Arabidopsis thaliana: one gene and its partner. The protein of the gene in region 2 interacts with the protein of the main gene of each other region in a pairwise test. Each region holds a gene or a part of one and is shown on either strand. Other genes may lie near its edges.

Region 1 (4,542 bases), on a different chromosome or scaffold from region 2:
GGAAGATGGGTCACCGCATCCTCAGCCTCAAACTCCACCAGGCATATGGGGCAGCAAATTTCCTCCTCCTTTTCCTTGTCCCCAAACATCACTCCCACTAGGTTGTAACCGTCATCATCATGCGCATCCGCATCTCCACCATTCTTCTTCAACCTCCCCAAGGGAATGCACACACATGTGTAGAATACTATGGCTGCTGTGCACAAAGGCGACCGCGGAAACAACATTGAAATCATCTTTCTCCAGCTTTCTGCTTCTTTACCTCATTCCTTCCCTCTCTTTTATAGACTAATATCATCGAGTAGGGACGGCGCCGACCCCACCTCCCATCTCTTATTATATTCTTTTGTTGTTTTTCTTTAATCAAGTCAGCGATTCTCCCAACTCCAAGAAAACTCTTGGAGAGGTTATGGTCAACATACGAGATGCACATGCTTCCATCTTAAGCACTACCTGATACTTGCATTTAACAATAGTAAACAATACAAGAATCACATGACGCCAAAAGTAAACAAACAAAAGATGGCATTCATATCCAGTGTATTATTTATATATATATTAAAAGTAAGGAGTCATTCTTCCATCAAGACAGGCCTTGACTTCCGAGTTCACGAATATAATACAGCCGACCAAATCAAGTAAAGATCTCCGAGTGAATCATAAAAACTATTTTAATGTTGACTCCACGCATTTTGTATTCAATATAGCGCCAGCTTCTACAGAACAGACCTCCACGTCCCTGAGATCAGCAGTGCCTTTGGAGGATGATGTAGTTTTATGCCTGGTGTATGTAACCAATGATACTATTGTTCATATTTGTTCATGAAGTCGGCCACATTTGCAATAGACAGTCACATACATCATTGGTAATGACTGATAAGCGTCAAGCATAATTTGACACCCTATACCGCCAACACAACGCTATTCATTGAACTTGCAATCAATATTAGAATGCATGAAAACAGGGAACTACATCTACAACTACACATTTTTAAAGGACATAGGAAAAAAAAAAAAACTCGATACCTGACTCCAAGCAGAAAAAGGAAGACTCATATTGATTTTCACTTTCAAGGTTGTTATTACAAGTCAAGAAAACATCTTACTGAGACGGCATACTTAACAGCACTGCGTAAGTAAATCAGAAGGGTTTCTCGGTTGGTTTCTTCTTGAAGATGGCTTCCCAAGCCAAAGACGGAAATGGAGCCCTTTTATCCATGAACTCCTTGACAGCCTTAACATTAACGGCAAATCCTTTTTGGTTTAAGGTATCAATAGCGGACTGGGCTTGTTCAACCCCCTTTACTCTGCACAAGGCATCAACCAATTCAACGAAAGTGGGGACGTTAGGAGAGTGACCAGACTCAAGCATCTCACTACAGAAAGCAACAGCATCGTCAAGCATGTTGCAATTATACAATCCCTGAACCAACACACCGTAGCTGAAGGCATTAGGGGCAATCCCATTGTTCTGCATTTTCCTGAAAATCCTCTTAGCGTCTTCAATTTTATGAGCCTTGCAAAAGGCCTCAACGACAGCAGTGTAGATAACGACCTCAGGGATTGTACCCTTGTCACGCATCAATCCGAAAAGCTTCATGGCCTCTTGTACAAGCCCATCTTTGCAGAGGCCGTCAAGCATGGCGACGGCGTTAGGGATGAGACCTCCTTCCTTCATCTTCTTGAAGATCTCATCGGAATCCTCAGGCGGCGGTAAGGGCTCCTGCGGGTATTGTTCCGGTTTGGGGGTTTCCCGTGAATCCTGATTGACTCCAAGCTTGAACTGTTCGAGGAAGCCATCGTCAGACAGAGTAGTATCACTCTTTCCAAGGTTGTGGGCTTGTCTAGCGGGTGGTTCTCTGTGAGAGTTGGAAGATCTCTCCCCTCGCAAGGGTCTGTTGGGTAAGGGCTCTGGAGGGTTCTGCTGCTCGTCTACTTGACCATTGTCGCCCGTTGAGAGAAAGCGTGTTGCGGACATCGACGGCGTCGTAACACGAATCTGCTTCGCCATCTGCCTTGCAAAAACGACGGCTTTGGAGGAAGGCACCATCGTTATCTGCCGCTGATTCGAAAAGTTAGGGTTTTGCAGATTTTGACGGAGAGAGAAGAAGGGGAGGGTTTAGTCACGCGAGAAGGATTGAGGGATATAACAGTCATTTACTCTACAGGGGGTATAAGAAAGAAAGAAGGTCCTCACTCCTCCGTGTGGATAAGCTTCTCACTTTCAGTTCAATTGGATAGCCGGAAAGGCTCTCCTCCAAGGTAAATTCCTCTCTACTTCCTTGTTAAAGCTCGAATCATCTCTAAGTTAAGCAAAATTGGTGTGTTGTAGTGGCGTTTATATGGAGGTGACAAATACGAGCAGCATCATGTGGTTCTTCAGGGACAAAGGTTTCGATGATCCGAGTATCGACAAGATGTTGAGAAAATGCAAACAGTTGGAAAAGGCTCAAAGCGATGTGGCATCAGAAAACTGGGACTACCTGAGTAACATTGTTGGTATCCAAGAGAGAAAACTCCCTTACATCGTCTCTCGATGCCCCAAAATCCTGACTTTACGCCTCGATGAGAGACTCATCCCGATGGTCGAGTGCCTCTCCAGTCTTGGAAGGAATCCTCGGGAAGTTGCTTCCGCCATTACCAAATTTCCTCCAATACTCTCTCATAGCGTGGAGGAGAAACTCTGTCCCCTTCTTGCTTTCTTTCAAGCGTTAGGTGTGCCTGAGACTCAACTTGGCAAAATGATACTTTTTAACCCAAGGCTTATCAGCTACAGCATCGACACCAAGCTGACAGTGATCGTCAGCTTTCTTGCTAGCCTTGGCCTTGATCAAGATGGGATGATTGGCAAAGTTCTGGTGAAGAACCCATTTCTTATGGGGTACAGTGTTGATAAAAGGTTACGGCCTACCACTGAATTCTTGAAATCATCCGTTGGCCTGAGTGAGGATGGCATTAAGTCGGTGGTCATGAATTTCCCACAACTTTTGTGCAGAGACGTTAACAAGATTCTCAAACCAAATTATGATTATTTGAAGGAGTGTGGGTTTGGAGATTCCCAGATAGCAACCATGGTCACTGGTTATCCCCAAATCTTGATTAAGAGTGTTAAGAATTCACTACAGCCTAGGATCAGATTCCTCGTCCAGGTGATGGGAAGAGGCATGGATGAAGTGGCTTCTTATCCTGAATTCTTTCACCATGGATTGAAGAAGAAGGTCGAATCGAGGTTTAAACTTGTCAAAAAGAACAACATTGACTGCAGCCTTAGAGAAATGCTGGACTGTAACACAAAGAAATTCCATGAGAAGTTTGGCTTTTCGGAGGTAACTGCAAGCTTCTAGCTTTTATATCTCTCTCTAGTTTTTTCCTTCATCAGGCTCTCTCTGTAAGCTGTTTTCAGCTTGTGCACCAATTTCTAGCACGAGCTTTTCCTTGAGTGATTGTGATATCAATAGAGTGTTTTCTTCCAGATATCATCGATTATTCACTATGCATTCGTTTATCATGGATTCTACACTTCCTTTTGAAAATTACCTAATTATGATAGAACCACCACCATGGCCCGATCAAGTGCATATCCATAGAGTGGTTCCTGTGTTTTCAGGTATTCAACTGCAATCAAAATGGGATGTATATGTTGTTGGATAAGTCAGTGTCATTATTGGCTTGTGATTATTGCAGCAACCGACAAGCAAAAGAAGTGTCTGCTTAGCCTAACTGCAGAACAGAATATGCAGCAATGCAGTCTAGCTGCTTGTCGGAAGTATGGGTGGGTAAAAAGCCCCTAGTCATTCCACAAATATGGAGGCCCCTAGTCAAAGGTCACATTTGATGACAAAGAGATGGTTGATCGTTCTCTGCCTATATAGTATGTACCTGTCATATAAAAATGAAACCCCCTCTGCTCTCTCTTTTGGATGAGATCAACCGTATTTTAAACCGGCCAAACTTGAAAGTTTTTTTTTGCTTCAAATGCTCTTTCAAGTAGAGTCCCTTTTGTTATTCACGTTTTGTAGCTATTCTATTCTCTCTCCTTGGACTGGTGTTTTTGTTCTTCGGTTTTTCCGATCAAAGTTGAATCAAGAAGAAGTTCGCTGTTTCTTGTGGTTGCTTGTTGGGCTTCTGTGCCTTTTTGATTTTTTCTATTTTGGGCCTGTGTGCCATGTTTTCGGCATTTCTGCTTTGTTGGGCCTACGTGCCTTTTCGAGCCTTGTAGTTTTCTTTGTTTAAAGCACTCAATAATTGTTTGTTGACGGACCAAAAAACTCAAATAGGCCCGACTTAATTTATTATTTTAAGGGCCCAAAATTAAGGACTAGGCCTGCCTACCAGTCCCAACTCGCAACATTGGTTATGGTAAACTAACAGCTTGCCGTTTTATGTTATAAAAACGGCAGGAGAGTGTAGGCTTAGATAGACAAACCCGTCACCGAGTTCGGTTGGATCCAACAGCAAACCTTAAAGCGTACTCCGTCCGGTCGCGGAAGCCATTGATTCAGTTACAGTTACAAGTTTAGGGTTTTAAAGCCATATCTTGCG
Region 2 (5,037 bases):
CTGAACAAATCAGAAGAAGCCTCTCACCTGCTGAGGGAGATGTTGGTTGCTGGCTTTCAGCCAAATTCCATTACACTAGCAAGCATTCTCCCTCTTTGTGCTCGGATTGCAAACCTGCAACATGGAAAAGAGTTTCATTGCTACATCCTGAGGCGCAAGTGCTTCAAGGACTATACAATGCTGTGGAACTCCCTTGTTGATGTTTATGCAAAATCGGGAAAGATTGTAGCTGCAAAGCAAGTATCTGATTTGATGAGCAAAAGAGACGAAGTAACATACACTTCCTTGATAGATGGATACGGAAATCAAGGTGAAGGGGGAGTAGCCTTGGCCCTGTTCAAGGAGATGACCAGATCTGGTATTAAACCTGACCATGTAACCGTGGTTGCAGTTCTATCAGCCTGCAGTCATTCCAAGTTAGTCCATGAAGGTGAAAGGCTGTTTATGAAGATGCAGTGTGAGTATGGTATACGTCCTTGTCTTCAACATTTTTCTTGTATGGTTGATCTCTATGGCAGAGCAGGTTTCCTAGCAAAAGCCAAAGACATAATTCACAATATGCCATATAAGCCATCCGGTGCCACGTGGGCTACCCTACTGAACGCGTGTCACATCCATGGGAACACACAGATTGGTAAATGGGCAGCAGAAAAGCTCCTGGAGATGAAGCCAGAGAACCCGGGATACTACGTGTTAATTGCAAATATGTATGCAGCTGCTGGTTCTTGGAGCAAGCTTGCTGAAGTGAGGACTATAATGAGGGACTTGGGTGTGAAAAAGGATCCTGGCTGTGCTTGGATCGACACAGATTCTGGATTTTCACTGTTTTCGGTGGGGGACACATCAAGCCCTGAAGCATGTAATACTTATCCTCTATTAGATGGACTGAATCAGCTGATGAAAGACAATGCTGGTTATGCCATCAATAAGGTGCAAAGTTCAGATGAAGAACTTCTTCAAGAAATGGGATGAAGGTGAAGAGCTGAGGATGATCAACTGGAGCTTTATTTAGTTAATAGCACATAGTCTATATACGCCTGCATATCACCAGACTGAGAACAAGTTGGATACACATGACAAGTTCTAGTATATACATTAACTAAAATTGGACAATGGTGGGGATTGCTGCGGAAGTATTTTTCCTATATAACACAAAGAAAACTTATATTGTGAGCTGATTCACTTCATCGAGCAAGAGCTTTGTAATGCCATCAGAATTGGTCGGCCAGTTGAGGAAATTTCTGCAGCAGCCAGGTAACTCCCTTTATAGCAGCCTGAATACACAAAATGCAAAAGCTGTTAAATCTTCATTACCTCTGCAATTTCAAACACATCCACACAATCAAAATTGATAGTAGCTCATGTTACCAGAACTGTTTCTCCAGGTTTGATTGCAGGCTCAACGCAGTCTCTTCCATATCTGCAAACAAAACAGAGAAGAAATGTTTATCCCAGCAAGACAAAAATTGGCATCTCTGTCAGTCTACACGATCTGTCGAGAAAAGTGTGCTTACACGATCTGTCTCTTCCCATCAATCACCTCTAACCGGTAAAAGCTGCAACCTTTGCTAAATGGGAAGTTCTTTCCTTTCCATTCTGTCAAAAATCTCCAATTTACGACTTATCATTAGAGAAACATAGACGACTAAATCATAAAGAGTCTGTTAAAAACTAACCTAAATGCCATGAAACTCCAACAGCTGAAGAGTCTTCTGTTGAGATATCATCTATCACGAATTGGAGATCCGTACTTGTTGATTCAATGAATTTTCCGAAGAAATCAAGAATTGCCTGTCATGGCTTTATCAAAATTAGGCTCTGAGACACAACAAAGTCTGAAAAGAAGAGACTTTGGTTTATTAGAATAATAATCGTTTCACCTTTCGGCCAACAAAGGGAGATGAGAAGACGAGATCCTCGTAGACGCAGTCCTGAGCGATGAGGTCTGTGACAGAGGATAAATCATGGACGTTAACGGCGGCGTAGAAGCTGGAGACGACCTCCGACGCTGATGTCGGAGCTGTTTCTGGAACAACGTCGTTGGCTGTAGCAGCTTTTGCAGCTGGACCATAGGATGCGGACAATCTCGGAGGCTGTGAATGAGTGAGGCTTGTTGGCTTGACAAGTTTGGTTGGGAGGAAGAAGGAAGGAGGAAGATGGTTGAGCGAGACGAGTGAGGGAGACGTCAAATAAGAGACGAGAGAAGCAGTGAAGCTCATCGTCGTTTCTTGATATGATGTCTTCGTTTTTGTGGCTCATTTGTGTTTGTGATTAAGAGAGCAAAGAGTTGAATTTTGAATTTCAATTGGAATTTGTGGACAGAAATTCTTATTAGTAGTCCCTATGATTATCGATGCCATGTGGATACTGTAACAATCAATAGAAGTATACTCCAATCCTCTTTCCTATTAATTGATGATTTTTCTATCATCATTTCATCTTATTTGTTTGTGAAATGATACTTTTAATTTAGTTGTGAAATGAGATTTTATAATTTTTCGAAATATAAGACTAGGTAATGCGTAGCAGAACAGAAAAGTAAAGAAAAATATGTGTTGGTGGATAAAAAGTTGAATTGTTTTTCATAATTTTTAGATCAATGATATATTTTCAGTAAATTCTTGTTCATCGGTTCTCAAATCTACATAAAGAGAGAAGCTAAGCAAACATTTAACCCTATTTTTTAGATTTTGTTTTTTCACTCCTGAACATATAATGAATAAAGAGATGGTTATGAAAGACGTTTATAATAATCTTTAAAAAAAGAGAAAAAAATCGAATCCTTCATAAATCTTTTACATTCATAGATGGAACACAATAATTATAACATAAATAAAAACGAGAAAATCAAACTCAAGCCATGCACGTCACTATCGAAAAGTTCTCACAAAAACAACAACTCCAAAACATCAGCCATGAAGCGATATTTGTTGATGAGATGCTCTATCTCCTTGATAAACAAAACCTCACATTTTTCATTCAATTCTTTGGCCTTATTATCTCCAATAAGCTTACCTTTCTCCAAAATATACTCTTCAGAAATAAATTCTTTGACCATCTCCTTACTTAAAAACATCTTCAAAGATGGATACCGAGCCCAAAACTCATCTTTAATACCATTAGCCTCAGTTTCTGTAACAACTATTGACATAAGATTTTTTTTTAAGAAAGTATTAAAGATACGATACAAAAACTATCTTAATCACTTTTAAGATTTTTATATCAACGTAATAATCTTGAAACCTCACAGTCAAACAGAACATGAACATGCAAAGTATTTCTTAACAAACGCTCCAACTTCTTTACAGTGGAAACATGTGAAATGGTGAAGTGAAAAATCTGAAATAAAATAGAGAGTGATGCATGCATGTACCTCCATTGTTGTTTTCAGAGTCTGATGGTTCGTCTTCCATTGAGTCGTCGTCTTCCGATGAGTTGGAAACTTGGGAGTCGCTGAGTTCTTCTTCGGATGATTCAGGTTTAGGTGGAGAGTTGATCGTAACCGGCACCATCGTCGTTAAGATTAAGTTCGAAGAGACTAGATAAAGTTTCTAAAGAGAGAGATAGAATCGGACAAACAAAGAGTCGATATGTGAACAAGTAGAAACATGATGTTTATTTATACAGTATCGTCGGGAAAACGAAGAGTCAATTACTTTATTTAACTGAATATTTTTAGTGACAAAAATATGAAACGTTTTTTTTGTAACTTGTCCAAGTTGACATGAATTGTTTTTAAACGAGGAAGATTGAAGCAACCACCAAAATAAAAGCCAATAAATTCTAAATACATGCTTTTTTTAAAAACGAAACCGTGTGTGAACTGATGGGCTACAATTGTTTTGGGGGCCCTAAGCCCATATTTCAATTTTCTGGCCCAAATATTAGCTTTCAATTTCAATTGCATACTTTATAAAAATAGTTTAAAGCTACATATAAATACTAACGACCTTTAGCTTAATCAAGTGGTTAGTGGTCACAATGGAAGTAGTGTCGTCTCTCGGAATCCGAGACCTCCCGGCGTCCCTCTCCGTGACGACGAGTCTCAACCACCGTCCTCATCGTTCCGATAAAGATGGCGCTCCGGCGAAATCTCCGATTAGACCAAGCAGAACTAGACGACCTTCCACTTCTCCCGCCAAAAAGCCGAAACCTTTTAGGGAAAGAGATGCTTTCCCTTCTTCTCTTCCTCTCCACTCCAAGAACCCCTACATTATCCACAGAGATATTCAAATTTTTGCGAGGCAGAACAATCTCGAAGTCGCTCTCACGATTCTTGATTATCTCGAACAGAGAGGGATTCCTGTAAATGCGACAACTTTCTCTGCTCTTTTAGAGGCGTGTGTTCGCCGGAAGTCGTTGCTTCACGGTAAACAAGTCCATGTTCATATACGTATTAATGGGTTGGAGAGTAATGAGTTTCTAAGGACCAAGCTTGTTCATATGTATACTGCTTGTGGTTCGGTTAAAGATGCACAGAAGGTGTTCGATGAAAGTACTAGCTCAAATGTTTACTCTTGGAATGCGTTGCTTAGAGGGACTGTTATATCAGGGAAGAAGCGGTATCAAGATGTTCTTTCTACGTTTACAGAAATGAGAGAGCTTGGTGTTGATTTGAATGTTTATAGTTTATCTAATGTGTTTAAGAGTTTTGCTGGTGCATCTGCTTTGAGACAGGGATTGAAGACGCATGCACTTGCGATTAAGAATGGTTTGTTTAATAGTGTCTTTCTTAAGACTTCTCTTGTTGATATGTATTTTAAGTGTGGTAAAGTAGGGCTTGCACGTCGAGTTTTTGATGAGATTGTAGAGAGAGATATAGTTGTTTGGGGGGCGATGATTGCTGGATTGGCTCACAATAAAAGGCAGTGGGAAGCGTTGGGACTGTTTAGGACGATGATTAGTGAAGAAAAGATATATCCAAACTCAGTTATACTTACAACGATTCTTCCCGTACTTGGGGATGTTAAGGCACTGAAACTGGGGAAGGAGGTCCATGCCCATGTATTGAAATCGAAGAATTACGTGGAACAGCCG

What was found. The genes of interacting proteins can lie anywhere in the genome.
Region 1: the proteins of AT1G71480 (region 2) and AT4G38150 interact in a two-hybrid assay, tested with the Arabidopsis thaliana proteins (one large-scale study listed by BioGRID).

What each region holds. Positions count from the first base shown.
Region 1 is NC_003075.7:17,900,070-17,904,611, forward strand, and holds AT4G38150 (Pentatricopeptide repeat (PPR) superfamily protein), read right to left. Parts: upstream 2,214-4,542; 5' UTR 2,051-2,213; coding exon 1,142-2,050; 3' UTR 1,027-1,141; exon of another isoform or gene 903-1,026; 3' UTR 501-902; downstream 1-500. Other genes in the region: AT4G38140 (RING/U-box superfamily protein), read right to left, coding at 1-236; pde191 (Mitochondrial transcription termination factor family protein), read left to right, coding at 2,343-3,326, 3,608-3,651, 3,727-3,835.
Region 2 is NC_003070.9:26,929,261-26,934,297, reverse strand, and holds AT1G71480 (Nuclear transport factor 2 (NTF2) family protein), read right to left. Parts: upstream 2,447-5,037; 5' UTR 2,220-2,446; coding exon 1,881-2,219; exon of another isoform or gene 1,831-1,880; intron 1,792-1,830; coding exon 1,677-1,791; coding exon of another isoform or gene 1,672-1,676; intron 1,597-1,671; coding exon 1,515-1,596; coding exon of another isoform or gene 1,511-1,514; intron 1,421-1,510; coding exon 1,369-1,420; exon of another isoform or gene 1,275-1,368; coding exon 1,212-1,274; 3' UTR 985-1,211; downstream 1-984. Other genes in the region: AT1G71490 (Tetratricopeptide repeat (TPR)-like superfamily protein), read left to right, coding at 1-972; AT1G71470 (uncharacterized protein), read right to left, coding at 2,885-3,141, 3,374-3,512; AT1G71460 (Pentatricopeptide repeat (PPR-like) superfamily protein), read left to right, coding at 3,982-5,037.